Rhinolophus ferrumequinum: one gene and its partner. The protein of the gene in region 1 purifies or fractionates together with the protein of each later gene. This does not show direct contact. Links are inferred from orthologs where the notes say so. Each region holds a gene or a part of one and is shown on either strand. Other genes may lie near its edges. The genes, in order: MMP2 and COL5A1.

Region 1 (16,050 bases):
TACCATACCTCGAATGGACCTAAAGGAAATGGGAAATGTCCTTGGGACCCTTGGAGTGATTTTCCAGGGTTATATTTTGGACAGATAGAACATCTGCTATACACTTTGAGCTACAGTAGGAGAAGGTTTCCAATAATATTCTTTACTCCATGAAATCATCTTTTCAAGACCCCCCATGTGTGAGCTCCTGCACATGTTGAAGTGTAAGGGTATTAAGTCCCTATAAGTAAGATTGCTTTCTGATTGGGGCCAAGCTACATCTGTTTGTCTGGGTCAAAGGCTCCCCCTCTTTGTTGCCGTATCCCCTTTCTTCTTCTGTAGCTGTCTGTTGGAACCCTAAAAGAGAGTCTCTTATTGATTTAATAGAACACAAGGAGCATTCTTGGGTCTGGATAATTTGGCTGCTTATTGCCGCTTGTCTAGCTGTACCATCAGCTAAAGTATTTCCTTTTGCTTCCACAGTGGCAACGTTAGAATGTCCTGGAATTTTGATAATTGCCAATTGTCTCAGTTGCTGCATGCATCTAATAATTTTGCAACCTGTTTTCCATTCTTCATGGGCTGCCCTGAGAAAGTTAAGAAGGCTCGCTGCTTCCACAACATTCCAAAGTTGTGAGTTTCACCACCGGGACCATCAGTGTACACATTAGCTATTTGATCTTGGGCCACTGACAAGCTCAAGTTAGAGGAATTAATTTAGCTTGTTGTGCAGATCTTATTCAGATAAATAAAAACCTTCAGTGATGTCCACCATGGATCTTATTGCATATCCAGCTCAGTAATGTCCCTGTTCATCTTTCAGATCATCTGTAAACCAGATTATGTCAGCATTACTGATAGGCATTTTCGGTAAATCATTCTAGGCGCAAGAAAGGTGGTCAGTAAGCAAAATGCAATCGTGGATGTCTTCATCCTGCAAAGAAGGTAGCAAAGTCGCTAGGTTAAGACTGTTACATCAAGTTAAGGTAGTATTAGGCACAGACAGCAAGAGTGCTTCATAAGAAGCCAGTTGACTGACAGAAGGGTTGAGTGTGATGAAAGAAAGGTCAGTGGGGATTTAACAGAAAGAGGAACATACATAAAGGAGAGCTGATAACTGTTTCTTCTGTTTGTTTGCATAACGTGGCTGTAGCACAGATGGCGGTCATGCAGGGAGGAGTCCCTTTGGCTACTGAGTCTAATTGTTGACTATAATATCCTATAAATCTAAGATGAACTCTATGTTTTTGAGCTAAAACTCCAAAAGCTGTTCCTTTACTTTCATGTAAAAAAGGAAGAAAGTTTATCAGTAAAGTGTCTCAGAGCAGGAGCTTTAGAAAATTTTTCCTTCGGAGCTTTATAGCTTGTTTCTCTTCTGGGTTCCATTGAATTGGATCAGGTTGAACTGATTTTAATAAGACTTATAGAGGATGGGCGATTGCCGAAACATTTAACATCCAACTGTGACAGTAACCAGTCAGACCCAGGAACCCACTAAGCTGCTTTTGTTTCTTTTAGAAAAGGAAAGGAAATTATTCCTCTGAGCCTTTCATGGTTCATTAGGAGCTCATCTTTAGATGTTAGATGACCAAGGTATTTTACTTGGGATAAACAGAGTCAAAGCTTGTCCTTTGAGGCCCTATGTCCCTTTATAGCTAGTAGCTCTTGTAATAGGTAGATAGATTGTATCCTCCTGGGAATCTACTATATCCCAGAACATAAAGTAAATCATCCACATACTGGATTAGAGTGGAATTTCTGGGAAATTCAGTATCATTCAAGTCAGCATTTAGTATTTGAGAGAAATAGGTGGGACTCTCTGTACACCCCTGGGACATTACTGTCCAAGTAAAGCCCCGATCTTCCCAGGTGAAAGCAAAGAGGTCTTTTTTTTTTTTTTTTTTTGACAGGAATGCCGAAAAAGGTAAATCCATCACTGAAAAATATTGGCAATCCACAGGAATAGCTAATAATAGGGTATGTGGATTTGGAACCACAGGATATCTTTATTTATAGCTCTGATGTCCTGTGCAAATCTCCATCCTTTCCCATTGGGTTTCTTTACTGGAAGGTTAGGAGAATTACAGGGGCCCATGCATGGAGTTATAAGCCCCCTTTTTATGTATCTTGTAGAATGGGCTTAATTCCAGCCAGTTCATTAGGTCTTAAAGGATATTGGTGAATATTAGATAGAGGCAAAGTACTGTCAATAGTTATTTTAATAGGAGTGGCTTAGTCTTGCCAATATCTGTACCGGAAAAGGCCCAGAATTGCATTGGAACGTCCTGTAACAAACGTTCAGTCAGTCTCAAGACTAGTTTTCTCTTGTGCAGTTTCCTTTAAAGTCATTATTTTCTCAGTTGGTTCAGTATCTGATTCATTTAGTTCTAAATACTTTTCATCCTTTTGGGAAAAGGATATGTGGGTGTCATCGGTTTCAAGAAAGTCTCACCATATCAGGTGAATTGGGACAGATTTGACTAGTAAAAAATATATGTATGTTACACATAACATTCCCAAGTTGGAAGGGAACAGGTTCTGATTTAAAAACAGACATTGGTTGATCAGATGTCCCTACCATTTGTAAAGACGCTTAGTCCAAGGGCTAGGACAACTCAGTTGGGTAGTGTTAAGAATAGATAAAGTAGCTCCGTACCTACAGTTCTCTTTACCTACATTCTCTTTTTATGGTAATTTCAAAAGTATTTGTAAGGAGAAGGGGAAATGCCCTCTCATAGTCCTTGGAGCAGCCCAATGCTTGCTTCTGTTTCTTTTCTTCTTCTAGATCCCATTTCAGTTTTCTGCAGTCCTTCTTAAGGCAACCTGACTTTTTAAGATAAGAACAGATTCCTCTCTCCCCTTATCTAAGAGACCTCCGGGGAGGTCTGACCTGATTGCTTAATTGCTGGAGCTGTAAGTTCATGATTTTGGCAGCTTTGTATTTTTGTACCTTTTGAATTGTTTTAGATAGTTGATCAGCCAGAATTACCAATTCATTAGTACACGTGGTCAGCCAGTTTAATTTATGCTGTTTAATCAGAGTTCCAGCTCTTCATCTTGTCCTTCCAAAAAGGCCGAATTTATTATATTAAGGGATCATTTTGATGATCCTTAAACTGTCTGGAGACAGACCTGTGTATTGTTTGAACGTTTCTTTGTAAAGTTCAAGGAAATCAAGCCCTGTTTCATCAGGCTCTCTTTTACATTGCTGGATCTTAGTCCTGTCCATTTTCTGGGGCAAAACATCTCAGATATGGCTTGGTAAAGCCACAGGGCTAATTCTCTGCATTTTTCTTGGTCTGTCTCTGTTTTAACAAGTCCTCTATAGGGGCTTCCCAGTGAACCTTATTTACCCAATCTGTTGCTTTCCTCTCAGAAACCAGTAGGTATATTAACTGGAAAAGGTCAGAATAGCCAGGATCATATGTTCTAACAGTTAAATCAAATTCCTTTGCAAACTCATATGGTCCCAGAGAGTGAGGGAAATTTTAAGGTAGAGTCCTTAATTCTGTTCTAGTCAAGGAATGTGTACAATCACTGGTTTTCCTTTGCCTGGCGTTTCTCCAAAGGGAGCTGCCAGAATTTCTGTTGGATTTTGTTTTTTTCCCCTAGTCTACCGTGGTCTGGTTTTCTAGTCTGAGTGTCCCCTAGGTCAATAGAGAGCTCTGGTGAAAGAGGTGGAGGAGAGAGAGAGAAGGGGGAGGGGAAAAGAAAGTCCAGACAACGAAGTAAAGAGCTACAGCGGAGCAGTTGGAGAAGAGAGAAAAGTGGGGCTGTTGGCACTGAGCAGTGTCAGAAACTTTCCTTACTTAAGAGACAGTCTCTAAAATTTCCTTATTAACTTCTTGGAGATAGTATCTCTGTGCTCTGTTTCAGAGGCTTCTATTTGCCAATTGAGGTAAGCCTCCCATTCATTCTTTTTGATTTTAGAGATGGCTTTTTTCTCCTATGGTGCATGCAAAAAAATAATAAGAATAAGAATTTAGGTGTAAAAATAACTCCATTTCGGTCATCTTAAGTTGATATCACTTCTAGTTAAATCTTTTTTCTGTAAGTACTTGCAAGTAGAGTTTCTTTATGAATTGTACATCTACAAGAATATTAATGGGGCTGGAGGCTGGGGGCTTGTTGTCCTGGGAGGCAAAATTTCCCAAGTTCATTTTAGTTTTCTTCTGAGATCTGCAAAGCCTGAACACATTTCTAGGGCTCTTGGGTAGTGGGCTGAAGTGGACTGCTTATGAGCTCCAAGGTGCTGTCACCTCCCGAGTCACTCCAAACTTCCTATGTGTCTCAGCTTCTTTCCATACTATCTAATAAAACTGTGAGGACCCAGAGCGCGCTAGGTAACAAGCTTTTATATGCGTGTCCCAGGGCAGCCAATTGTTTAATTGCAGGGGTGTTGGAATTTCCTATGGGGCCCTGCTCATTTTGAGGACTACCCTCAAACACCTCCACATAGTTTCTTAGTCACCTCGTACCCGAAATTTGAGCTGAAGGGAGTAAGTGCCCCTTATCTTTGGAGCCGAACAAGTTCAGACTCTCATTTATCCAGCAAAAGGTTTTGTTCAGACTCACAGTAAGTAATTTCCGTTGGAAAGCCGAAATTAAAAACCAGCCACCCGGTGGCTCAGGCAGTTGGAGCTTCGTGCTCCTAACTCCGAAGGCTGCAGGTTTGATTCCCACATGGGCTAGTGGGCTCTCAACCACAAGGTTGCTGGTTCGACTCCCTCAAGGGATGGTGGGCTGCACCCCCTACAACTAGCAACGGCAACTGGACCTGGAGCTGAGCTGCACCCTCCACAACTAAAACTGAAAGAACAACAACTTGGAAAAAATCCTGGAAAAATACACACTGTTCCCCGATAAAGTCCTGTTACCCTTCCCCAATAAAATCTTAAAAAAAAAGAAAAAGAAAAGAAACAGCCACCCATTTCTTTTTCTCTGGTCCCTGAGTTATCTCAACCCTTGTCCTTAGCCTGGGTTATTTCAACCCTTAACCTTTAGTGCCACCTTGAGGATTTATTCCCCCCTAAGATCAGCTCAAAGTCAGGGCCTTAAAAAAACTACCTTAAAATAGGGAGGTTCAGAATTCCAAGAAAAACTCACCCAAGGTCACCTAAGGCAAAGTGGGGAGCCCATAGGGCACAGTGGGCCCCTGCTGGTACCGAGCACCGGGTCAGGGTCCACAGGGTAGTCCTGGGTGGGCTTCTTTGGAATCCTGCCAGCTGCACCAAGTAAATGTCAATGAAAGAACACCCAGCCTAAAAAAAAGTTTTATAAGAGTTTATTTGAGCCAAACTGATGACAATTGCTGGGAAGCAAAATCTCAACAGACTGAGAAAATGCTCCAGAGAATGGCAGTTTTGCAGCTTCTTTTACACATTAGAATCAAGGGAGAGGACATAAGGAGGGTTATGTGAAATCCGTTAGTGGTAGATTAACAAGGCGGGAGAAAGCAAAGCAGCGAAATCGCTGGGATTGGATAAAAAGTGAAACGGAGAGAGACACACACTTCTCTTACATCAGTGGATGCAGGATAGTTAATAATTAACATTTGGGGCATGTAGAGATGGTATTCGGGGAATAAGATGATGATGAGGGGTGCTGTGGTCTCTAGATGGTGCATGCAGTTGTGCCGTGAGGGGTCTGGCAGAGATTATGCTGACATTTCAAAAGTATGTTATCTTACAGGCAAAAAGACCAACAGACAGGCTCACTTATGGCAAAGACTGACCTTTGTCAAGGAAGCTACAGGCCTAGGATCTGACTACCTGCCATGACTTGCTTTCAGTTAGAAATTTTTATGTTGATCATCCTATGTGGTTACTTTGGTCTCTGAGTTTGTCGGGCCCGCCGTGCAAGCCTCCGCTGAGCTTGTCAAGTTTAGTGCGTGGCCCCTTTTTCATCCACAGGGGCAAGTGATGTCAATGAGCAAAACTAAGCTGAGTGAGTCACATGCAAGGCAATAGAGAATGGTGGGGACTGTGGCAAACCAAAATGCATGCCTCATCTAAAAGGAATAGCAACTATTTAGCTTCAGCTAATTGTTGCCAGGTGGAAACCGGATTGCCAGAGCTTTGGGAATTTTTAAAAGGATAGCAAAAAGTCAGATTTTGACATCAAGTTTCCCAAGTTTCAAAATGCTGTTCCGACTGGATTCAGCCCACAGGCCACGAGTTTGCAAGCCCTGCTTTAGTGAGACAACTTTTTCCATTTTCACTCCCAGCTCTGGCCTCTCCAACTTGGCTCTCTGACTCTCCACAGGCCATGGACTTGGGCCAAGTGGGGCCCAGACAGGAGGCAACCCCCTCCCCACTGACCTCAGACTCACCCTCCCCAAAACAGCCAAGGCTTCTCCCTAGATCAGGCTGATAGGCCAGCCTCCCTCTTGCAGGACAAAGTCCCTCCCAAGTGGCTCCTTTCACTCTGACCTCTTGTAGGACAGGAGAACATGCCTGCCAGGCAAGCCTGTATTTTGTTTTAAGCCCACTGAGATCCAAGCTGCAGACGGCTTTTACTGATATTAAGATAAAGGCCAGGTTCATCACCACGACCCCCAAAGCCCTCACAGGCAGATTGTTGCTGACCCTTTCAACCCATGATTTTCTTCCTCAAATTGGACCCTGCTGACTGCCAGGCCCATCTCATCACCCTGCCCCCTACCTTTCTCAGATAAAGGGAACTCCCTTCTCCAGTGCATCCTGCTGTGTTTCATCTCTGGACCTTTGTATGTGTTGCCCCAGACTGTGCCTGAAACATCCCTTTCACCGCTCCCAACCCAAACCTTTGTTTTGTAGCTCTTCAGGTCTCAGCTCAGAAGTCACTTCTTCCAGGAAGCCTTCCCTGACCATCTATACTAGTTTAGAGGCTGAGGTAAGGTGTTGCCAGGACCTGCTGGAGATCCCCCATCACAGCTTAGCACTTAATTATTCTTCCTGAGAGAGGGAGGGGACATTCCTGAGAGACAGGTAGCAGGACTTCTGTGTTTCCAAGTGTATATCTATTAGGTTGGTGCAAAAGTCATTGCGGTTTAAAAGGTTAAAAATAATTGCAATAACTGCAAAGACTTGTGCACCAACCTAACAGCACCTAGCATTATGCCTGAGGCCCAGTAAATGCTTAAATATTTGCAGAAGGAAGAAAGAAAAGAGGCAAAGAAGAAAGGCAGGAAGGGAGGAAGGAAAGAAGGGAGGAAGGAGAGTGGGACACTCCAGTTTATCTGTTTCCATCTGTCGCTTTCCATTTTGTCCATCTCTCTCTATCTTCATCTCTAAACATCTACAATCTTTCTCCATCACGTAGCTGACGTCTGCTTCTGACCCTTCCTTTCCATCTCTGACCCGTGTCCCTGGAAGTGCTGACATTCTTGCCCCCCGGGCGTCCTTCCAAGAACCGCCGTTCTCCAATATCGTGAGTCTACAGTGGTCGTGGCAGATGTTTCCCCGCAGGGGGTCTCTTAGGCTTTGTGCCCGGATTGGTGTGTAGGGGTAAAAAGGTCGCGCCCTGCTGCTGCACGCAGAGGCCTGGAGCAGCAGGCGGCAGGGAAAAGAGGCGGAGAAAGGCAAGGAGGATAAAAGAGGAGGGCGAGTGGGGGAGTGGTGCGGAGAGAGGCGGGCCTGAGCGCCCCCCGCCCCCCCCCACCTCCCTACATTGCCAGCGCCCTCCCAGCCCAGCCGGCCACATCTGGCGGCTGCCCTCCCTTGTTTCCGCTGCATCCAGACTTCCTCCGGCAGCGGCTGGAGGCTGCGCATCTGGGGCTTTAAACATACAAAGGGACTCCGGGACCGGCAAGCACAGGCGGTGGTGGCACGGGCCGGGGAGCGGGGGCCGGACCATGCGCGGCTGAGCGGGCAAAGCAGAGGCCGCCGAGTCTAGTGGTCCCTTGGAGCGCAGCGCTGCGCGGCGGAGCAAGCGCCAGCCAGGAGGCGACTCAGCCACACGCGCCGAGCCAGTGACCCCTGGGCGACGTGTGGGCCCGGGAGAGCAATGACCGATGCGCGAGTGGCCCGGGGCGCGCTTGCCGGCCCCCTACGGGCGCTTTGCGTCCTGGGCTGCCTGTTGGGCCGGGCCGCCACCCGGCCATCTCCCATCATCAAGTTCCCCGGAGATGTCGCCCCCAAAACGGACAAAGAGTTGGCTGTGGTGAGTTGCTCCGCGGGCCTCAGCGAGCCAAGTTTATAAAAACTAGGAGGCGGAGGGTGGGGGTCTCCCAGCCATACCTCCTCCCTACCTCTGGGGACAGACAACATGGGGGAGGGGCTTCAGTAAACAGCTCGGTGGGGGTGGGGGTGGGGGTAAAGTCGGCCTGCTGGAGGAGGGATCTGTTTTGGAAACCATAGGGGATCTTTGGTAAGTGGAGAAGGTCTTTGATAAACCACTTGGCAACTTTCAGGACACAGCAGGGAGGAGAGAAACACTCAGGGAAGGGAAGGAGGTGCTTTGGCAAACAGCTGGAAAAGGCCCCTTTTGTAAATAACGGGGACGTTGTATAGTATCTGGGGGATTTGGCAAGGGGGCTGGCTTTGTAAACAACTTTTGGACACATCTGTAGGGTTGGCTAACCAGGCCCTTGGCTAGCCTCTTGGTAGGCCTTTGGCAAAAGGCCTAAAGGGGTCCCTTTTGTAAACGGTGGAGGATCTTTTTAACCCCCTGCAGCACTTTGGGAAGGGGATTCTTTGACGCACAATTTGGATAAACTCTTGCACACGTTAAGTTCGAGTTCCAGGCCAAGCAGGACTTGGCAAACATCTGGTAACCTTTGGCACACATCTGGACAGGGGCCTTGGACAGACCTGCGTGAGGGAACCTTTGGGCAAATATTCAGGGCAGGAAGGAAAAGGAGAGCGCATCTTTTTTGCCTGGCTCAGTGGACAAGTTGGCCTGGAGAGTCAAGGGTTGGACCTCAGAAAGTTTCCTCGAACTTCTGCAAAGAGGTTGGAGGGCAGGAGAGAGGTGGCCAGCGGGGCGGGGATGGAGAGAGGGGCAGGCGCAGGAGGCCTGGCGCGTGGGGCGGGGGCGGTGGAACCCGCGGGTGGGAGAGTGGCCAGCCAGCCCTCCCTCCTGGCGGGGCTCCGAGCTGCGGCTCAGATGTTGTTCTGAGAGGGAGCACGCCTGGCTCCAGGCGCACCCAGGCCTCAGCGGGATTCGGGGGGCAGCGGAAGGGCACTACCCCTCACCCTGTCAGTGCCTCAAGCAGGAGACCCCTCAAAATGTTCCTTCTAGCCCACAAGACATCTGCCCCTTATTGCTTTAACTCCCTAGAAATCCCCTATGCTCCATCAGCCTGATCCCCAACCTGCCCAAGACAGCACTTTTATGCCCCAGGTCACCCTGGGCACCCCTTCTCAGGATGTGACCCCCCCTTTTCCTGCATCTAAGCCTCTGTCCCTTCTGCATAAATGGGTTGGGAGACTTTACATTTTTAGGGGGCTACTTTTCTCACAGGTCTGGAGCTGGCTGGCATTGTGATGTGGCTCTTGGTTGGGGGTGAGGGTAGAATTTTGGAGCATTGACAAAGCTACCTGGGCCCCCACACCTTCCACAGCGTGTGCAAGTCTATGTCGCCTATAGGCCATGCAGTGGGAGGTTTGAGAAGTGGGCTTCAAACGCCGGAGTGCACTCACCAACTGGCCTAGTAAGTGTGGGCAAATGACCACCTCTCAGTCTCAGCTTCTTGTGCAAAGGGAGGATGATAATGATACCTCTTGGACACTTTGAAGTAGCACATGGTAAGCCCTCCATCAGTATTAGTCATTATTGTTATTATTATTATTCTTATACCCTGTATCTTCCCTTTTCTAACTATCCCCCCAAACAAGGTTATGGCCCCTGTAAAAGGGTCTCCTGACTCCTTTCACCTTTCTAATGCAGTACCCAGCACATATTTAATTTTGCATTTATTTCTGGTCCATCAGCCTTCTCCCATTGGGGTTTGAGCCCTACAGACTAGAAACATCTGTTGTGTTCACCAGTTTATCCCAACACTAGCAACAGGCCTAGAACATGGGACATACCAAAAAGTATTTGTTGAACAAATAAATGAGCTGCTTGGTTCCTGACTCTTTGTACGGGCCTGTTTGGTTTTGGCCTTGGTTTTGGCAGAGCCACTGCACAGCCCCTGAAGGACAGGACTATTTTCTTTTTGAAAATGATCATTCCAGGATATGAACCCAGGTCTCTGCGGCTGGAGCCCATGCACATAGCCCCTGAATCTCTCTATAAGAAAAGTGAGAAAAATAATCCTTATGTCATCAGCAGTTAGGTGGATTAAAAGAGGTGATGGAGGTAAAGAAGGGTGGTGGAGCGTTACAGTTCTGATCATGGCGCTGGAGCCAGATTGCTGGGGTCCAAATCCAGCTCTGCCATTTGTGAGCTGTGTGATCTTAGGCTAGTTTCTTAACCTCTCTGTACTTTAGTTTCTTCCTCTGTATGATGGGGAGAGTAATAATAAGTACATTATAGAGTTACTGTGAGCATTACAGTTACGTGCTAGCTTCAGTGCCTAGGCATATAGTAAGCACCCAGTGCATGGTAGCCATGCTCTCTGTGGCTGTTAAGTCTCTCAGCTAGTGGGTGTCAGAGCTGGTTTGGGAACCCAGGACTCCACCTAGTGCCCTGGGGCCCCTGGATTATGTCCTCTCTGAGCTATGGGGCTGGACGGGGGACTAGTTATTGTAGGGCTTTGGTCAGTACTATGCCATCCTAATGTGGCTGCTTGCCTCTGTTGCTCATTTCTTCCAGCAATACCTGAATACCTTCTATGGCTGCCCCAAGGAGAGGTGCAACCTGTTTGTGCTGAAGGACACACTGAAGAAGATGCAGAAGTTCTTTGGACTACCTCAGACAGGTGCCCTTGACCAGCGAACCATCGAGACCATGCGGAAGCCACGCTGCGGGAACCCCGACGTGGCCAACTACAACTTCTTCCCCCGCAAGCCCAAGTGGGACAAGAACCAGATCACGTACAGGTGCCGAGGCAGGGCTGGGGCAGCAGGGCCTCTGGGCTACGGGACACGGGGTTTCCTTGGGCCTCTCCCCACTCCGGGCAGCCAGGAGGTGACTCAGGAGGACTTAGCATCTTAAGAAGTTTGCATACAAAGTTCTTAGGAACCGGAGTCAGACAGACCTGAACTAGAATCTCATACTTACTAGGTGTGGGGCATTGGGCTACTTATTTTTCAGTGCCTTGAGCCTTGGCTTTCCAATCTACAAGATGGGAAACAAAACCTTCCTCATAGGTTGGTTGGGAACGAAGCTAGGTCACATTTCTAAAGGGCTTTCACAGTGTCCAGCATCTAGTAACAGTGTAATACCTGCTAGCCACCATTGTTACTAGATGGGGTCGTTGGTGTCGGTGGAGGGAGCTGGATGATTGGTTGCTAATTGGTTTTATGTTACAGTATAGAGTGGCTATAATTGGCTGTTGATTGAGCTGAGAGCTCTGTTCTGTACAGCTCATGCTGGATTCCAAGGATGAGGTCTCTGCCCTGTGTCCCATATGCACTATTCATGTCCCTGTGTGTCCCCGCAGCCAGAAGTAAGGGATGGGAGTCCTGAGACAGGGCCTGAAGGTGTTGGCTCATCTAGGACTGCACGGAACCTCAAGCCGTTCTGGGCAGGCTGTCCTCCCCGTGAGCTCTGCTCAGCACACGCCGTATACCTGCACAAGCATGGACACTCACAGGCACACACTTGTGCACACTCCAACGCATGCACCCCTCTTGCTTGTGCACACACCCACACACCTGTGCACATACACCCACCCTTGCACACATTCATGCACTCACACAGTTGCATATACACACACTTGCACACATGCATGTATGCTTGCATGCATGTGTATACACATGTTCCTTTGCACACACGTACACACTCATATGCATTTCTCCTACCTCCAGGATCATTGGCTACACGCCTGACCTTGACTCTGAGACGGTGGATGATGCCTTTGCTCGTGCCTTTCAAGTCTGGAGTGATGTGACCCCCCTACGGTTTTCTCGTATCCACGATGGAGAGGCTGACATAATGATTAACTTCGGCCGCTGGGGTAGGAGAGCTGGGGCCAGCAGGGGTTCAGTAAGGAGAGGGGGTGATCTGGCCATTAGAGAGGCACAGGGTCCCGAGGGCAGCTGAACGAGGAGAGTAGGTGTAGACACTGGAGCGGCTTAGATGGTCCATGTGGATGTGAGGGCAGATGACATGACACTGGGCCTTCCCTGGAGGCCGTGTAACCCTGAAAGAAGCAGTCTTCCTGCATGTCCAGCATGGTAGCCCCTAGACACCTAGGGCTATTTACATTTAAGTGAGTTACAATCAAATGAAATGTAGAATTCAGTTTCTCGGTCACACTAGCCACATTGCCAGTGCTCAGGAGCCCTATGGGCCAGTTGTGATGGACTGAAACAGCACAAAGAACATTCCCGTCGTCGCAGAAAGTGCAGTTGGGTGACACTGGGAGACACTGAGGGACTCTAGGTGTGAGAGTGGATCTGAAACAGCGGAGCAGTGTAGACATGAGTGAGTGGAATAGAACCTGGGGTTGGGGGTGTGAACACTGGCTGTAGTGGAGGCACGAGGGTAGGTAATGTAGACATTGTGAGTAGTATAGTGATGTGGGTAAATAGCACAGCACAGAAAAGAGTGTAGACGTGTGGGGGGTGGTATGGACCTGGGTGGCACAGTGGGCTTGGGGGTTGGTGGTACGGATATTCGCGGTGGACTTGCCAGCACAGTGTAGACCTTAGGATGGTAACCATCAAATCAGCAACTCTCTACTGACTTGCTGTGTCCCCGCTTCTGGATAACAGGACAGGGAAGGGGACAGATGCCAGGTGGGCTAAAGCGCTCCAACTGTGGATGGGGTGTGGCTGGGTTTCAGGGCCCAGCTTGGGCAGCTAGTAGCTGAGACCCAGTGTGTTGCAGAGCATGGAGACGGATACCCCTTTGATGGCAAGGATGGACTCCTGGCTCACGCCTTCGCCCCGGGCCCCGGTGTTGGAGGAGACTCCCACTTCGATGATGATGAGATGTGGACCCTGGGAGAAGGGCAAGGTAAGCGAGTGACCACCCACAGGCCTCCTCTCTGGTCCTCTGCATGGCTCCCTGTAGCCTAGTAAAAGGACTGTGCCTTCCTTAGCAATCTCAGGCACCTCCATCTGCTCTGGTGGGACCAGAGAGATGGGAAGGCGAGAGGAGTCGCGCAGAATTCGGGTCTCCCAGGAAAGGCCTGCAGAGACTCACCCCCATCCTGTGTCACCCCTCAGTGGTCCGTGTGAAGTACGGGAATGCTGATGGGGAGTTCTGCAAGTTCCCCTTCCTCTTCAATGGCAAGGAGTACACCAGCTGCACCGACACGGGCCGCAGTGACGGCTTCCTCTGGTGTTCCACCACCTACAACTTCGACAAGGATGGCAAATACGGCTTCTGCCCCCATGAATGTGAGTCCACCTGGCTTCCCACCTCAGACTCTCGCCTTCCCGGGCTCCCTGCTGTCCCCCGCCATCTACACGCCCCAGGTCTGGCACTGCCAGTCAACCAGCATCTCCCCAACTTTCTTCAAATCCCACTGTCCCTCTCACCTGTACAATTATTTATTTAATGTTGTCACTAAATCAATACTGTTTTAAGTGTCACCAGGAACAGTAAGATTTGTGAAATCACAGGTTTGATATGCTAAATATTTTTTTCTGACATACATTAGAATGAACTTAGAACTATTAAAATGCTTAATGGTTTTCTGTACACCCACACTCTCCCCTCCAGCCAGGATTGGGGGCTCAAAAGCATGAGTACAGGCTTGGGATAGGTCAGAAGTCTAGCAGTAGGATCAGGCGTGAGACTCAGACACCAAGGCTGGTTGGTACCCAACCTGGCTTGGGGATACCAACCCCTGGAATTTCAGCCATTACCCCTGGTTCTGATGACAATTCCAGTGGAGTGTGTGTGTGTGTGTGTGTGTGTGCGTGCGCGTGCATGCAAGGGGACAGTTCATCTGCCTCTTTCCGTTGCTGTCTGTCTTTGCTTGTGTCTGCATCTCTCTATCTTGGTAAAGGCATTAGACTTGACTCAATATTTGTGTGTGTGTGTTTGTCAATGCTCAAAGCATAAAATTTTCAAATATTTTGAAACCACATAGAAGGAAAAACATTTTTAAAGATGTAGGGGTATTGACATACACACTCAATTCTTTTTAAAAATATCCTTGACACACTTTATAATCAGAAATCATAAAACGATAGTATGTATAACTTTATACTTGGTCAAGCTGTCATAGTTGATGATGCTGGAGATTGAAAGCCCAGAACATTAGAGAAAAATGGGAGAAAATCCAAACGTTTTTCTAAATACTCCTTTCTCCTCTATCCTATGAAGACTCGTTGATCTATATATTTTACATGTTTGTGAATCTCTCTGACTCCGTCGCAACTGAACACTGACCACCAGCCCCAGGAAACTTTGTATTAAGTATGAATTCAAGCCGTTGACTATTAATACGTCAGTAATTTTAAATAGAAATATTTTAGGTATCTTGAATTTCCAACAGGGATTCAAGCAGCATTAACCCTCCCATGTGTCAACCCCTGTGATTAGAACCGAATGCCTTGATGATAGAAGTGGAAACAGCTGTAATTCATTAGTTTGGGAAGGGTTTTTCCCTGCATTGGACACCAGCCACGTACTTGGTCTTAGCCAGATGCAAGTACGCACAGCGTGCACGTGTTTGGGTCTTGGGGCAGAGGTTCTGGTGGTTCAGCCCCTCCTGACTGCTGAGTCAGTGTCTGTTTCTCTTCATCCTTGTTGGGGGCAGGATCTGAAAGGATATGGGGGCTTCCTGGGCGGCAGAAATGCAGCCGATGGGAGGCCAGAGGTGGAGGCTGGCCTCTGTGGAGGTTAACTCTTGACCTGTTCCCCCTCAGAGGCCACCGAGGCATCTGGCCTCAGTTTTGCCTCTTTCCTTAGTTCCACTGTGTCTGGGATTGTAGGAGAAGGTCCCTTGACTGGGGAGAGGGGAGCAATGAGGATAAGGGACCCACGTCCTACAATGGGTGGCGGGGCAGGGATTGGGCTCCATTCTGGTCGTGGTGGAGTTAACAGGGGCTGCTGAGGTCACCTCTGGCACCGCTATACACAGATGGTCCTTGTTACTCACTTGTGGTTTTGCTAGTTGGCAAATCTAGAGACGCACCATTTTGTAGCTTTGGGGTAGATGAGGGCACGGGAGCAGGGGGAGAACTCAAGACAGACAAGCCTAGGCTCTGAATCCCACTCTCTCCCCAAATTCTCCAGTCACGGCCTCTGTCGTGGGGAGGTCAGCGTGAGGGCCTGACGTGTGTAATAAAAGGTCCCCGAAGACACCGCCTCCTCTCCCTCCCCTGTCCTCCTCCTCTGCTTCCTGCAGGGACCACAGAAGAGTCATCCAGGAAAGTGCCTGGGGTTTAAAGGAGGTGAAGCTGTGTGTGTGTGTGTGTGTGTGTGTGTGTGTGTCAAAGAGTGAGCAAGACAGACTGAGATTGGTGTGTTTTGTAATTTTCAGTTACACCCTTTATCCGACTCTTCCATTTATGGGACCATGAACAGTGCTGAAACCAACTTTCTTTGTGCCTCAGCTTCCCTACCTGTCAAATGGAGAGACCCTTGTGGTCCTGCCTTCCATGGATGATATATTTAGTCATCCACACAGTGTGGATCAACATCCTCCACAGTCTGCATCAACCAGGCAGAGTGAACAGGGAGCTTGGGGTGGGGGCAGGGTTCTGGAGGCTGTGTGCCGTGTGCCCTGTAGTCACCATGTCACTGTGGGTGGAGGGTTTATAAGGTCCCAGGGAAGGATGGGGTTGGCCAGGAAGCCAGGGGTGGTCCCCAGGAGAAGCAGCAATGTGTAGATGCGTTTTACTATTTTGACCACCTTGCTGGTGTGAACTGGCAGGTTGGTGGCCAGCCAGCTCTGTGCCCACACAGGTGCCCATCTGATTTTCAGGTGGGCAGGTGGGTGGTGTCCCTGACATTCACATCCTCCCCCTCTCTCCCTACTCCTAGCCCTGCTCACCCTGGGTGGCAACGGCGATGGACAGC
Region 2 (15,091 bases), on another chromosome or scaffold:
AAATGACAGCTCAGATCACGTGATGTATATCACACAAAAGGACCCCATCACCCCCACCACACATCCGCATGCACCCCACTGCGTGTTCATTCACTCTATAAACCTCTCGCCAGCCACCTGTGGCTGGGCTGGCGCAGAAGCGGCCTGTGGGCTGGCAGAGGCCCCCCTGTGCCGACCCCGCAACACCGCCTGGCAGCGCATCAGCCATCACCCTCGTCGTGTCCCAGAGACAGAAGACTAGAGTCCCCGAGGTGGGAGGTAGGCAGGTCCCCTCCCATATCTGTACCCCAAATCCTCCTTGTAAAGTGGGGTGGCCCGACGAGGACAGGGTGGGACAAGGGGAACATGGCGCGCCCACGACCGCCCAAGGACACGCGTCCACGCCTGAGCTCAGAACCACAGAAGTCACCACGAGTGACCCAATAAACTCACCAGGGGACACTGTGTCACCTCTTTTCATGCTTACCCTGTGAGGTAGGCACTAGAACAGGGGTGTCCAAGCGTTTTTCAACGTTTTTTACCAAGGCAAGGGCCCTATGTGGTAAAACACACAAACAGCCGGGCCACTCGCTCGAGGTAAAGTACGTGTTGCCTCACCTGGTTTGTTTAAGTACACTAAATATATTTTTGGAATTTGCTGCGGGCCCATTAAAAATGGATTGCGGGCTGCAGTTGGCCCGCGGGCCGCAGTTTGGACACCCCTGCACTAGAGGGATAGTTTGCGAGAGACAGGGAGCCACTCACATGGCTAGCCAGTGAGCAGAGAGCCAGGAACTCGGTGCCTGACCCCAGGCCCCTGCCTTGTGCTGCTTGGGGTCCAGGAAGGACAAAACAGTGACAAATGGGGTTTGCTCTGTGCTTCGTACATGTTATGCAATGAACCCTCAAAAAATCCTGCAGGAGTCACAATCATCACCCATTTTTATAGGTAGGGAAACCAAGGCATGGGAAGTCACATGCACAGCTGGCAGGAGTGCAGCCAGGATGTGAATCAGGCCGCCTGGCCCTCACCAACACCGCACGCCCTCGCCCTGGTCTTCATGTTGTGCCCATGAGAAGAGCCAAAGCTGGCCCCACCTTCAGGATCTCGGGATCTCCAGCTGGACCAGAAATCTTTGAACTTAACATGTGGCAAAGTGCTGACATCAGCTGATTGGATTACATGAGAGAATATAAATAGCGGGGAAAGCAGAAGCTATAATGTAACGTCGCCCTCCTGCGAGTAAAAAAAGACTTGTCCAATTACCGGATCCAGCTGGCCCTGCTTGCCCTGTGGTGGGACCCACGGCCTCCTGGCCCAGCAGCCTCCGTGGCCACAGTTCATCTCCACATTGCCCATTTGGCAGTGGGAGGGCATGTAAGGGGAGAAATGTCGCCTTGCCGCCAGGCCCTGCATGCAGGAGCACCTCGGGGGACCGTGTAAACACGTGTGCCCAAGCATGCTTATACACGCATGTACACTCACAAACACACACCTGGACACATCACACATGCACACACTCTGACACACACATACAAACACACACATGCGTGTACAAGCTCAAATGGACCTGTAAAGCATTTCTGCAAGTATTGCCTTGTGTGATCTGTACAAGGACCCCCATGGGGAAGTGGACCCACCAAGCAGACCAAAGACGATCAGCTCGTCCAAGGCTGATTCAGCTCATGGATGGCGGAGCCCTTGGGGTCACACTGGGGACAGAAGCCTCCGTGGACAGACACACCTCCCCCTACTATGCTTCCTCTGGAATACTTGCATGGAGAGGAGACTGTGGCAACGCTATGCTTTCTCCTTTCAGAAAATGCCACCAAACATAGCAGTCAGGAGCTCAATACACACCGGACGCTCCACACGCTCCTCCATGCAACGCCTCCATCTTCACAACCACCCCTCAAAGTGAACAACGCAATCTGCCCCATTTTCCAGAGGGGAAAACTGAGGCCCAGTGACTGACCCCAGCCCAGCCAACCTGAGCATCTCTCAGACGAAAAGAAACTCAGTTTGCCCTGATTTCTCAACTGCCCACACTGCCCCCGGGTTCAACAATCTGATTGCCGAGGACTGTCTCCTCCCACACCCAATGGCCTGTCACCCAGCACCGGTGCCCGCACACCCCCAGACAAGGCTGCAGCATCTGTCAGTCTGTCTGCAGAACTGCCTGGCCTCGTGCAGAGAGGAGAAAGGGTTAAGGGCCCCCCAGCTCTCCCTCTCACTCCCCCTCGGATGCTCCCTCTTTCTCAGCTGGCACAGCACTCCGGGGACAGGCCTGCTGCTGGGGGCACCCCGCCAACCAAGTTAATAAGGGGCTTTCCAGCCAAGGGAAGCAGCCCAGCCCAGGTGAACACCGCAGCAGGGTCTGGAACGTCCTGCCAGGAAGGAGGGAGGACCAGGCTAGAACCAGAGGTGGATGAGGGCAGCTGCTGCGGAGACACTCAGTGCATTTCTGGGAAGAAAGCACAGGGAAGGAGAGGAGGGGAAAGGCCTCCTCCAGGAAGAGTCCCCAGACCTCCCCAATGGAGTCAACCCTCTCAGACTGTTTGAAAGGACACTCGGCCTGAAAATGAACAGTGAAATGAACAGTGTCCACGTGTGTGCCTCCCATCAGACTACAAGCTCCTGCAGTGGAGACTGCCACCTTCACCTCTGTCCTTCTGTAACCCTCCAGACCAGGGCAGAAAGGCAAAAAGCCTTCAGGGGCCAGCAGGTCATAGGCTGAGAGAAGGGCCTGGTTAAGGACAAGGAATGGTGAAGACTGCAGGCAACTGGTCACCTTTGATGGCTTTCCATTTAAAAAAGGAGGGAGGGAGGGAAGGAGGAAGGCAGGTGAGAGAGAGAGAAGGAGAGGGAGCGAAGGAAAGAGAGAGGAGAGTAAGGAGGGGGGGAAGGAAGGGAAGAGGGACAGAGAGGAGTAGGGGAGAGAGAAAGGAAGGAAGGAAAACAGGGAAGGAGGCAGGGAGCAAAGGAGGAAACTGAAACACTGTGCTGGCCAAATGGAACACCTCCCTCATCCGGGGGCCACCTTTGGGCTAGGCCCCCAGGCCTGGACTGCAGCTCAGGGCGCTGGGCCTCTCCCAGGCGAAAGCTGATGATAAACAGACATAGAACTCCAAGAAGTCAAAGGCGCCGAGGCGTGGCCGTGCCACAGAGGAGGACAGAGCAGCTCACTCAGGGCCCAGGCACAGAAGTCAGACAGACCCAGAATCTGGGGTCCCTGCTCCCCACTTCCTGGGCCTCTCAGAGCATCAATCAGTCCCTCCCTTACTGTTCAGGCCTGTGTGAGGGTCCAGTGAGATAATGTGGACACAGGGCATAGCACAGGCCAGGTAAGTGCCAGCAAATCCCTTACAATCCTTACCGTGTGACGGTCTCACAGGGAGGCGGGAACCCTGCTCTGCCCTTCTGTGCAAACCCAGGGACCCAGTGTGGGTGCAGCAACAGGGCCTCAGGGGTCCGGGTGACTCATCCTTGACCCTCCAGGACCTCCAAGCTAGTCGGCCTGCACTGTCACTGTTATTAAGTGGGGGTTAGGGGGCCAGCGGGTGTCTGTTCCCCACACCCCTCTGCTCCACCCAACAGTGTCTGTGACCCAGGCAGGGACAATGGGAGACTGGGCCAGACAGCTTGAAGGCAGGGGCAGGGCAGGCTGGCATCAGCTGTGCTCAGCTAAGGTGTGGCTGTGGTGAGAATCCAGAAATATCTGAAGGGTGGGGTAACGGGGCAGGCTCTGGCCAGCACCCCAGGAACAGCTCAGGAGCAACATCGCCCGAGAAGGGACTTTGTGCCTTGGCAAGGGGAAGAATCTGCTGTCCACGGCTACTGCTGGGTGGTCACAGCTGCTGGGCAGTGACCACAGCTCCAGCCCCTCCAGCCACTGAAATCTGGAGCCGATGAGGCAGAGCTCTGGGAATCAGTTTGGCTTCTGAACTCCTCCCACTGACTGTTCTTTTATGGGGGGGAAGAGGGAGCAGGATGGAAAGGATGTCTTTCCAGCCAACTTGATTGAGTCAGAGGCAATTTAACCATTTGATCTCGGTCAAGTCCCACCAAACTTGGACGACTCTTCCCACAAATGATTGCAAAAAGCAATCACATGACCGGGGCCAACCAATGACATGCAGAGGAGATGACCTCAATTTCCAAATATCGGGGTCATGTTTCATTTCACATACTCTCCTTTGCCCGTTACAATGTTAAACGGCCCCAAATGCAATCTTACTTTTCAATCCTTCACACACTTGGCCATGAAGAAGGTAGGAAAAAGAGCCATGTTCAGAGAAACTCGGAAAACATCTGGTACACCCCAAAATGGAGAGAAGGAAAGGCGCTGGCTGATGACCTCTCCCGCCTCCCTGCATCTCAAGTGCACAGCCAGGCACTGGAGGATGACTCCAAAATGGTCCCACCCTAGGCAGTGGGTGGAGAGAGGTCTGTGGAACCCACCAGAGAAGTGGCTTCTTCACATGCTTCTAACGTCTCTTTGACGAAAGCAAAATGTCCAGCTCCACCAGGAGCTGGGTCCACCTCCAGGCTTCGACTCCCACAGGCCGCCCTCAAGTAGGAAGGGAAATCAGAGCAAAAGCAGGGGACAGGGGCGGGAGGCAGAGACGGGGAGCAAACACATGCTCTGCACGCTGCCCAGCCAGAGCCCAGCCCCAGCTTTTGGGGTGGTGACCCCATTGAAGGGTTCCCTCTCGAGTTTCTGGGAGAAAGCCCGTCAGAGGAGCTGGGACAGAACTAAGTCCCTGGGTGACCATGGGGTCCCATGCCACATCCCCCACCCCGCTGCACACCACTTTCCAGTGAGGCCTCTAGTGTCCCCCACCTTCACCTGAGCCGGGGAGAAACACAGAGCCAGCCAGCCCAGGCTTGAGGGCACGATGGTGGCCACCCAGGGGGAAGACCCCAGTCCCAGTCCCCAAGCCACACAGGCTCCCCTCCCCTCCCCCAGCCCCTGAGGTGCAGGACACCCAGATTCCTGCTCACCCTCCTTGGCCCAACAAGCACTCATTGTGCCAGGAAGAAGGGAAAGACTATCTTAATTGATTGGCCAGTGAAATATGGAAAGTGATTCTTCCCACATGTCTTCAAATTAGGAAGTGGAAGAGAGAAGCGGGGGGCAGTGAAGTGGTGCCTTCTCACAGGACGGCAGCTGTCCACTGAGCCCACTGCCTGTCACTTCCTCTGACTTTGCACCAGCAGCTCTGAGCCTGGTCTCCCCACCTGGTAATGGGGACTCAGGGGACTTTCCGGGCCTTGGGCTCCATTGTCTGAGGGTGTGTGAAGACCCCTCCCACAGGTAACCACCAAAGGTGATGCTTAGAAAGCCACTGTCCCATCAGAAAGCTGGCTCAGAGCTGCCACCAATCCAGGCAGGCATTCGGTCAGTGCCAGCTCCCACCGGAGAGGGCTCCTTCTAAAGGCAGACCTCTAGCAGGAGTCCCACATCTGTACATCGCGTCTAAACCTCTCACAGTTTTAACACCATCTCCTGCTTTGCTCCAGGAACCCATCTCTGGGCAGCAAACGCAGGAAAAACTGCCTCCCAGGAAGTCAGGGGGTTTGGGGTGGGATTAGGAGCAAGGCTGCTGGACCATCCTCCAGGGCTCCCCCGTACTACTTGCACTTAGGTGGCTGCAAGAAGCCCTGTTCCCTGGGGAGGTGAAGAGCCAGCCCAGTCTAGAGGCAGAGGGAGAGTGCGCTCGGGGGCAAACGCAGGGCCGGGGGCTCAAGCTTCTGGGATTCCCCCCAGTACCCCTCCTCCCCCCGCCTCCAGTCCCTGCCCGATTTGATGGGCTGTGGCTCTAGGGGGCGACCCTTCCCGGTTTTCAGGAGAGGAAGTTCTGCCGCAGGGCTGTGCCGGCTGGGCCAGAGCTGAGATGTAAGAGAACGCAAAGTTTCAGGACAAAAGTTTGCCGGCCTCGAGGACAGCCCTCTGGCTGATCCCACACTCAGCGCTTCCCGGGTTCCCGCGACAGCCCCACCCGGTCGGCACGTTTGGCGCGCGGGGCATTGTGCTGGCGAGTCTCCCTCTCCAGGGCCCCCAACTAATGGCATTCGGAGTCTCGGCCCGTGCATTCCAGAGCCAAGGGGAAACGCCGTGCAGGCGCGGGAGAGGCCGGCAGCCGGCGCCGAGGTGACAGCCGCGCCCGGCCCGCGTCCCGTCCCGCAGCCCCGCCAGCGCCCCGCGCGCCCCCGCGCTCGAGCGCCCTTACCTGCGCGGCTCGGAGGCGGTGCCCACAGCAGCAGCAGCAGCACCAACAGCAGCGGCGGGGACAGCAGCGGGGCGCCCTGGCGGAGCGGGCTACGCGCTTTCCAGCGGGTGTGGACATCCATGCCGGCTGGGCACGGGTCGGGGCGCGCAGGGACGCTCGGGGGCGCGGGCTCGGCCCGGGCAGCGGACTCAGCGGGGCCGGCACGACCTCAGGAAGTCATGGGGAGCAGGCGCCGGCCCGTTCTCTTTGTGGCAGCGGCTCTCCGGGACGGGTCTGCGGGTGCGCTCGCCCACGGGCAGGAGGGCTCGACCTTGGCCCGCGGGGCGGCCGGGACCCCGCTCGGCTCGCTCGCTCTCGCCTCCTCCAACTCCTCCAACTCCTGCTCGCCTCCCCTGGCCGCCGCCGCCCCGCGACCCGCTCCCCGTGGGCGCTCTGCTCGAGTGAGGTCCTGCACCAACCGCCGGGACGAGGAGTGCGGACCTCGCCTTGGGCGCCGAGCACTTTTTTCCCAGGTTCCTCCCTCCCTCTCTCCTGGAAGGCACCCGCGGAGGCTGTCGATCCCAAACGCCTGCAGCAAATCAGAGCCCGGCGCTGGGCTCGGCCAGGCCGGCCCCCGCCTCCCACTGGGCGCCGGGGGCGAGGGGGTGGGGACAGTGGGCGAGTCGCTGCGAGGAAGGGGCTGGCCCGGGGCGGGAGCAGACGTGGGGCGGGCGCGGCGCCCCTAATGTCTCGGCGGGCGCGCGCTGAGGGGCGAGGGGGCGGCCTCGGAGCCTAGGAGCCCACCCGGGGCCCTACTTTTCCCGCCCCAGGTGCCCGCACCTGGCCGAGACCCAGGAGCCAGTGTGGAGGGGCCCGGAGTTTGATGCCTTCGGGCTAAAAGGAAAAAGTTGCAGCTCACCCCGCCTAACTTTTCTTTTACGTGGAGGAGTTCAGAGCCCCTCTTCTGGGTGGAGACTGAACTTCCAATCCCGCCAGATCGCGGCGCCCAAGACTGCAGCCCTGACGGAGGACCCGCCCTTGCCTTCCCCCTAAATGCAGATTGGGCGTCCTGGTCAAATTAGGGTCTAACTTCCCAAGGAGTCCCCAAAGGAGCTTGCGTGTTGCACATCAGGCAAAGTTGGGCCAGGCACCCCGTTCTCCCCTCCTTACTTCAGCCTACTCCCTGGAAGTCCCTTTGGGAGCTGACAGCAGGCAAGGGAATAAGGGTTGTGTGATCCCTGGGGCCTGCTACTGGGGCCTGCCTTTCTGCCTTCACGTCTTTGACTTGTCTGAGGCCTGGTGAGGTCCCCCTCCAGCCCAGGCCAGCCAGGCTCCTCGCAGTATGTGGGAGCCCCTCCTGTCAGGCTCTTGAGGCCCAAACAGCCTCTTGGCACAGCCTGTTGAACTCCCAGTTCAGCGCCCTTCTGGGAGAGCTGCAGCGCTGGGTTTTAAAAAGCAGAGGCATGAAGGTGAATTAAGAGGGCTTTTCAAACCGTAAGCCATCCCTTCTCCTTTGAACAAACAATCCAGCCAGTAATGCTGAAACAGGGCTGGGATCCCCACCTCCCTGTCTCCAGTTACACCCCTACACTGGGCATGAAATTCCTCAAATGCCCCTTAATTCCCCTCACTCTGGAAACAGGCCGGGAGGGGAGTGGAGGGGGGGTCAGAGGTTCGGTTTGCGGGGGGGCCCCTGGAGTTGGGTCCCTGGTGCTAACTGTTAGGTCGGGCTCCATCTTTGCCTCGTGTACTCACTAGGTATCGTATTGCCCAGACCAGAACGAGAGGAGGGTCTGCACACAGACGTGAGGAGCTTGAGATACGCTAAGTAAAGCAAAATGTTCTTTCAGTTTCCATGTTTCTTTGTGATTGGATTTTGTTCTCACAATGCGTATAAGTCATATATGTGATCAGGGGAAATGTGTGTGTTTGAGTTGTGTGCATGTGTAAGTGTTTGTGTGAGGTGTGCGTGTGTCGGGGGGGTTCCAGTTAGAGCTGCTGGTTCTTCACTCTCCTGTGTGGCTTCATGACAGAGAAGTCCCACCTGACACTCCCTGAGCCCGCCCCCAGCAGCCTCGCCTGACCCCCAGAATGCCCCCCACCAGTGGGAAGGCCAGCTTCTCTCCTGAAGACTTGGGGGTACTGACAGAAGTCAGTGGCCTGGCTATCAGAAGATAGCACAGACTTTCGGGGTTCCTGCTTTTCCCCAAGGACACGTGGATCCCCTCTGACAGTCACCTGTGCCTCTGTGCCAATCAGCCAGCCCTCCCAACATCTGGAACTCAGAATGGGTGTCTGAGCTTTGGCCTGGGTTAGCACAGCTGGTCCCTCAGGAGCTGGAAATCAGGTGACCACCCAGGGGCCCCCAAAGAACTGACCTCTCAGTAAGAAGACTTAACTTCTCACGGCTGTGAGCAGATAGGACATTTACCTTTTACCCTCTCTTGGGGAGAAAGGGATCAGGTGGGCTGATAGACATGTGTTTCTACTTCATCCAAGCCTGGAGAGAGAGGCAAGTTTCTATCCCACCAGAAAACTCCGAGAAAAGCCCCCAAACTGGGCAGCCCGACTGCAGGAGATGACTGGAATTCTGGGGGCAGCAGTGCGTATCAGCCATGTGTCAGGGCTCCGCTGTGTTGAGCCCTTGTCTCCACTTTAAACCCACACTTAATCAGGTTACACACAACACTGGGGAATGATCGCATTTGTCCCCTTTACCGATGAGGGATCAGAGAGGGTAAGGAGCTCACCCAAAGTATCAGCTCACCTGTGGTCGAGCCAGGATCGGAACTCTGGTTTGCCTCTGGGTGGGAAAGATGCTGACCGCCTTGCCCAGTGGTGACGGTGGAGGCTGAACCCAAAGGCAGCGTCACTGCCCCCTCCACCCCCTTGCAAATGATTAAAACAGCGGGTCCTTTGAAAACTGTTTATTCTGTTCTCGGCTCTAGGGGGTGTGCAGTGAGCATGACACCTGGCCCCTTGCAGAAGGGCCGCAATGATGCTGACACCTGTGTGAGGTGTGGCTGCTTATTTGCAGGTGTGCTTTCCTCATCTTCTGTAATTAACGCCAGGGTCCAGTCCAGCCCACCCACATATATACACGTCACTCCTCCAGGGAGGGGACCCCCTGTGGTCCAGGGCGCTGTACACCCCTGGCCTACTACAAGCGCCACCGCCCATTGCTGTACGTTTCCCCGGGACCAGGTGAGGCCGAGCTTTGCACCTGCGATCTCACTGCCCAGCTTCCCTTTCCATTGTTGCAAGTCTTCTCCCTTATTTTTAGGCAGCAGAGTTGTGGCTCTCGACAGACCACCCATGACAAATACCAAGTGCTGCCCTCTTGGGTTTATGTTTCTTTGCCCACCCTCCCATCTTAAGGGGCCACCCAGCTCCCAGAGTCACTGTGGGGCTGGAAATGGCCAGCCCTTCCCAGGGGTGCTCTCCCTCCAAGGCTGCGGGTTCCTTCCCTCCAACCCCCTCACAGGTGGGAGCTCACAGCCAGCAGAGAAGGCGGAGAACTAAGGTGTCTGCTTGCCCTCCAAAAGCTCATGGGCCACTGGGGCCCCAAGGAGGCCCTGAGAGTGTGGGGTGGGACAATGTCCAGAGGGAGGGACCTGTGACGGCATCTTGCCCTGGCTGCTCATCCAGCCTGGCCAATAACCTCGCTTCTTTGGCACATGGAGCTGAGTGTGTGGTCTGTGGCCGCGTTCACACTGCGTGGGCACAGGTGAGGGGCAGGACACAGGCTGAGATATAGCTGTCTCCCACTCCTAGCTCCCTCACTGCCCATAGCCACGTGCTTCCCTTCTGGGAAGGAGGTACCCCAGGCCTGCGTCTCGAGCGCCCAGTCTAGCCGCCCAGGGTGTGCAGAGGAATGGACAGTCTTTGTGACCGCTGTTCACACATCCCTGAGGGTGGGAGCCGGGCCTAAACGCTGTGTGGTCACGTGGGGTCGTGTTCGTGTCTCCGTCCACCTCCAGCAGGGCGGCCCCTGGGCCTGATCTCGGCATCTGGGGCCCGGCCCACTGTCTGTGCTAGATGAAGGTTCAGTTAGTGACGGGGAGCTCATGGGGCTATGCTGGAAAGACCGGGCACGACACAGGAAGTCAGGGCCATGTGCTCTGGTCCTGGGCGTCACACTTAACTCCAGGGCCCCATGAGTCCATCTGAAATTCTTGACCCATGGAGCCCCCCACCTACGTCGACACCTCCAGAACTCCATGACATGAAGGCTCTTCCACCCCCAGTCTCCCCAACGCCGAACCCAGCAAAGGAGCTGCTTGTCCCCCCAGAGCTCACAGCCAGGACAGGGAGGTACCAGGCCCATCAGCCCTGCACAAGACCAGTCGAGAGTGGGCTGGCGGCGTCATTCCGACCAAGCACACACATGTACCAGGCGGCTGCAGTCCTTATCATGGCTGCAGAGCGTCCCCGGAATTCAGGAAGCAGGGCTCTCGAGGGCCAAGGGGCCACCCCCCTGGGGTGCAGGGACAAGGCAGCATAAATCACAGAGCCGGTGACCAGCCACCGTGACGGGTAAGGCAGCCCGACCATCCCTCGTGTGCCTGGCCGTCTCCCTGGTCCGCGAACAGGTTTGTTTCTGTGTCAGCCCACAAAGGCTGCTTTCCTGAACCTCAGTGTTCCCACCAGGGGCCCAATAAACTTGCCAAGTAATGGGATTTCCAGACAAAGTGGCCCATGACGGACACCAATCTGACTGTAGGGGAACTTTGCAATTATTCAGCGCCGTGGGGTCACACGTCTCCCAGCCTGGGGCGAGCTGGGCACTTACCGCCAGGAGAATGTTTGACAGACAAAGTTGAGTTTGCAGCTCAGGAAAAACGTCAGTTGGAAAAATCCTTGTTGTAAGGAACCACCTGTGTAGGTGGAGAGAGCTGCCCAGAGGTCAGCAGGCTGCTCCCCGGATTCAAATAGCAGTTTTAGGGTGTATGTGCTGGCACCCAACATCAGGATCTCGTTGGATCCTCCCCACCGGCTGGCATGTGACTCCCACTTAGGGTGGAACGTCCACAGAACCCAGAGCAAAGGGCCTTCTGACCCCAGCTTCTCACCTGGAAAATGGGGCCAGGAGAGCCTTCCTTCATAGGTTATGTGCGTATTATTTGCAAAGGCTCGTGGGCTGTTCCAGGCGTAGAGCATGTGCTCAGGAAATGCTCCATCCATCTCGTTCCCTCTGCTTCACCAAACCTCAGAGGGTTAGCCAGTAGGTGGAGGTGTTGTGGGCACCCAGGCCCCATCTGAGCAGTGGTTTCCACAGGCCACCGCACTCCCTGCCCCTCTCAGGTCTGTGAGCGCAGATGGAGGTGATGTGGCAGAAATACTGTGTAAACTGCAGAAGAATGTCTCATAAAGGTGACAGGGCCCTGATCCCATCTGCAGTGAATGCTGCCGGGCCTCCTGGACCCCCTTCGGGACCTGGACTCTCAGGTGCCCCTGCAGAAGTGTTGGCTACTGATGGCCATAGCTGAGTTCCTCGGCCCCTCCCTGTCCAGGGGAAGCCACTCCAATGCATGGACACGCCCGCCCATTCTCCGAAACAGCCATGCTTAAGTTTTAAAAAGCTCCAGTCTGTGGCCGTGCCAACTTCATCTGGGGCCTTGTGTTGGTGTCCTGGGGCTGCTGAAACAGCTGGATGACTAAAACCATAGAAATTGATTCTCTCTCAGTTCTGGAGGCCAGAAGTCTGAAATCCAGGTGTCACCAGGGTTATGCTCCCACCAGGGGCCCTGAGCGACGACGGTCCTTCCTGCCTCTGCCGGCTCCTGGGGCCCCAGGTGGTCCTGAGCTGTGGCCACATCACTCCAGCCTCTGCTGTCTCCACCTGGCCCCCTCCTCTGTGTGTCTGCTTTAATCTCCCTCTGCCTTTCTCTTATAAGGAAACTTGCGATGGCATTTAGGGCATACCTGGGTAATCCAAAATGATCTCTTCATCTCAAGATCCTTCACTTAATTACACCCGCAAAGACCCTTTTGCCAAATGGGTCCCATGCACAGGGGGCCACCATTTACCCACCATAGTCCTGGACACAACAAAACAGACCTCTGTGCCTGGAGTCTCCCCGTGCTCCCCACATCTGCTGCCGAGGAGACACCAGAGCCTGCCGTGGTTTGGAGCAAGGGGTCAGTGGTATCTCGTGTGCGACCCCGTGCACATGCAGAAACCCTGAGGTGTTCTCCGTGTCCTAAGAGCTGGTCCCAGCGGCAGGGCTCAGGCTGACACAAGGACAGGGAGCTCGATGGGGACCTGCGTGTGACGGCACACTGCCCGGGCATGCTGACACTGTCTGGGATTGCTGTTTTTCCCAGTAAGGCCCGGTTTTATTTGTTTTCATTTCTGGTATTAAACCAATATTTTTAATGGAAATAGCTCCCAGATTAGATTTTCTTCCATAAGAGGAAATAAAAGGGAATATTGAATTGAAAATGAGTCTTCCTAACTGAAGTCCAACCCAGAAATCGAATTCATTCACTCCTCCGAATCTTTGAGCACAGTCCAGGAGTCGGGCTGTTGAGAATGCACGTGACTTGGGGTAGCAGGAGGAGGGCAGGGAAGGAGGGGCAGGAAGCTGCCTAACACCCGTGACCTTCTTTATTCACTCACGCCACAACACAACACCCCCAATTTGCAGGTGAGAATCCAGACTCAGTGCATTTAAGAATGGGCGCCAGGGCTGTGGAACCCCGAAGGGGAGGAGGCAGGATCCCTTCAGAACCAGGATCCATGGATACACGCTCTCCCTGTGCCACCTACCAGCTGGCAAAGGTGCTGGTGGGATCTGCGTTGACACTCAGAGCCTGATGGGCAGGGTGGGGGCACCGGGAAGGAGTGGGTGCAGAGCTAATGTCAGGGGACCCCAGGTAGGTCTGGCTGTGGGAGGCTGACAGTGGCTCCCAAAGGCAGGTCTGGGCTCTAATCCCAGAACCCGTAAATGTGACCTTATTTGGGAAAAGGGTCTGCACAGATGTGCTTAAGTTACGGGCCTGGAGATAAGGAGACCATTGTGGTTTAGCTGGGCCCTGAATGCCATCCCTTAGAAGAGGAAGACATAGGGAGATTCAAAAATAAACAGAAAGAAGCTGATACGAAGACCCAGGCAGAGATTGGAGAGACACATCCACAAGCCGTGAAATTCTGAGCCCCCAGGAGCTGGGAGAGGAAGGAAAGACCCTCCCCTAGAGCCTCCTGAGGGAGCACGGCCCCACCCACACCTTGATCTCGAACTTTGGAGCTCAGAACTGGGACAGAACAAGTTCTGGTTGTTTTAAGGCCCCTGTCTGTGGTCCTTTGCCAGGGCGGCCCCAGGACACAAATACACTGCACAAGGTAGGTTCCCACTTCCCTATCTAAAGACCCAAAATTCAAAGGTGTGAGGGACCAGCTGAAATTCCACCGGAGTCAGGGGTTGCATGGTGCCCTCCTGCCTGGGTACCTGGCACCATATGTCCACGGCTCATCAGTGACATCTCAAGCTTGCCAACCTGCCTGCACTCAGAAAACACTGGCTGTGCAGCCAGGCTTGTCATGACTGTCACCTGGGTATTCACGGCCCACCTTTCAGCCTAGGAAAAGCCAGACTCCGTGCCAAGGAAAATGAAACAGAATGTGTGTAGCGCGAAAGAGACCCTAGGCTTGGGCATCTCCAGGCCACCCCCCCTCGGGGGGGGCACTTCCATTCACCAGGCACCTCGCCAAAGCCCCCACCTGGTGAGGAATTTCCCCTTTGAAGCCCAAAGGCCCGTGCCAGTTGGGAACGCATGAGACCCAGCTCCTTGCAGGAGAATAAAGGCAGTGAGCCGACGGCAAACGCTGGCGTCGATTGGGCACTCCTTGTTTTTGTCAACAAGGAGATTTGTTTTAATGGAAACCAGCAGAACTCAACTTGCAGATTTTCCACTCCTGCAGGTCTCAACGGCGGCAGCGGCCTGGCTCCCTACCCCAGGCAGGACAGCTGCAAAGCTTCTGGACCCGTGGGGGGAAAGGGGGAGGGGGAGGGCATCCCTGGTGGATTCTGTCTCTCTTCTGCTTCCCCCAAACCCCACCCTACCTGCACCTCACCCTCTACTCACGGGCCCTGAGCTGTGGGCTCCAATGTCACCGTCCATCCCACTGCTCTTCTTGCTGCACGGACCCCAGGGACAGATGCTGACCCCTTCCCCTGACTCATGAGATAGAGGCAGCAACAACAGAGGGCTTCCTCCAAGCTGGTTGCACACCTCGGCCTCTCTGTGCCTCAGTTTCCTTGTCTGAAAAATGGGCTGTCATGAGGACTCAGTGAGACAACACGCGCCCTTACAACCTGGCACACAGAAGGCACTCGACACACGTTTGCTGACGTCAGTCAGGCTTTGGCCTGGATGGGGGGACGCTGGCAGTGTGTTTGTTCCTAAACTGGCCGGCACGCAAACCTTGGACTCTCTGAAGTCTGGACACCGGAAATAACAGCAGCGCTGGTGAGAGTCCCTTCCCCACTGAGCCAGGGCCCAGGCCACTGGATTGCTCCTCTCTTACCTCTGCAGGTCTCTGGAAGTCTAATCTTGACCCTGACTGCTTCGCCTCAGGTCTGTCCACTTGCCAGATGTTAGGAGAGGTCCACTGGTGGGCTGGCGCTGGCTGGTACCAGCTCGAAACAGCTGGCCGTGTGCTCTGTGTTCAGCGACCCTCATGTTGATGGCTTAAAATCAGTCATGGTAACAGTATTTACACCATGGAAATTGGCAAGCACTTCAAATCTGGGCCTTTTTCCTGAGTCAGCCTTTAAACATCTGTCAGCACCCCACTCACTTCTCCCTGAGTGTACCTGACCTTGCTCCACTTCCTTACGGTTGGGTGGTGGCTGCCATCTTTCCCTGAAGACTTTCAGGCTGGGGCGGGGGCCGG

The links.
Region 2: the proteins of MMP2 (region 1) and COL5A1 purify together in Homo sapiens (co-immunoprecipitation; 3 studies listed by BioGRID and IntAct, counting the BioPlex papers as one, with this or other methods). This does not show direct contact. The link is inferred for Rhinolophus ferrumequinum from reciprocal best matches to the Homo sapiens genes MMP2 and COL5A1.

The regions. Positions count from the first base shown.
Region 1 is NC_046298.1:8,770,906-8,786,955, forward strand, and holds the start of MMP2 (72 kDa type IV collagenase), read left to right. Parts: upstream 1-7,630; 5' UTR 7,631-7,965; coding exon 7,966-8,121; intron 8,122-10,719; coding exon 10,720-10,946; intron 10,947-11,876; coding exon 11,877-12,025; intron 12,026-12,900; coding exon 12,901-13,029; intron 13,030-13,241; coding exon 13,242-13,415; intron 13,416-16,014; coding exon 16,015-16,050.
Region 2 is NC_046295.1:81,641,603-81,656,693, reverse strand, and holds the start of COL5A1 (collagen alpha-1(V) chain), read right to left. Parts: upstream 6,741-15,091; 5' UTR 6,335-6,740; coding exon 6,214-6,334; intron 1-6,213. UniProt on the Homo sapiens protein: Type V collagen is a member of group I collagen (fibrillar forming collagen). It is a minor connective tissue component of nearly ubiquitous distribution. Type V collagen binds to DNA, heparan sulfate, thrombospondin, heparin, and insulin.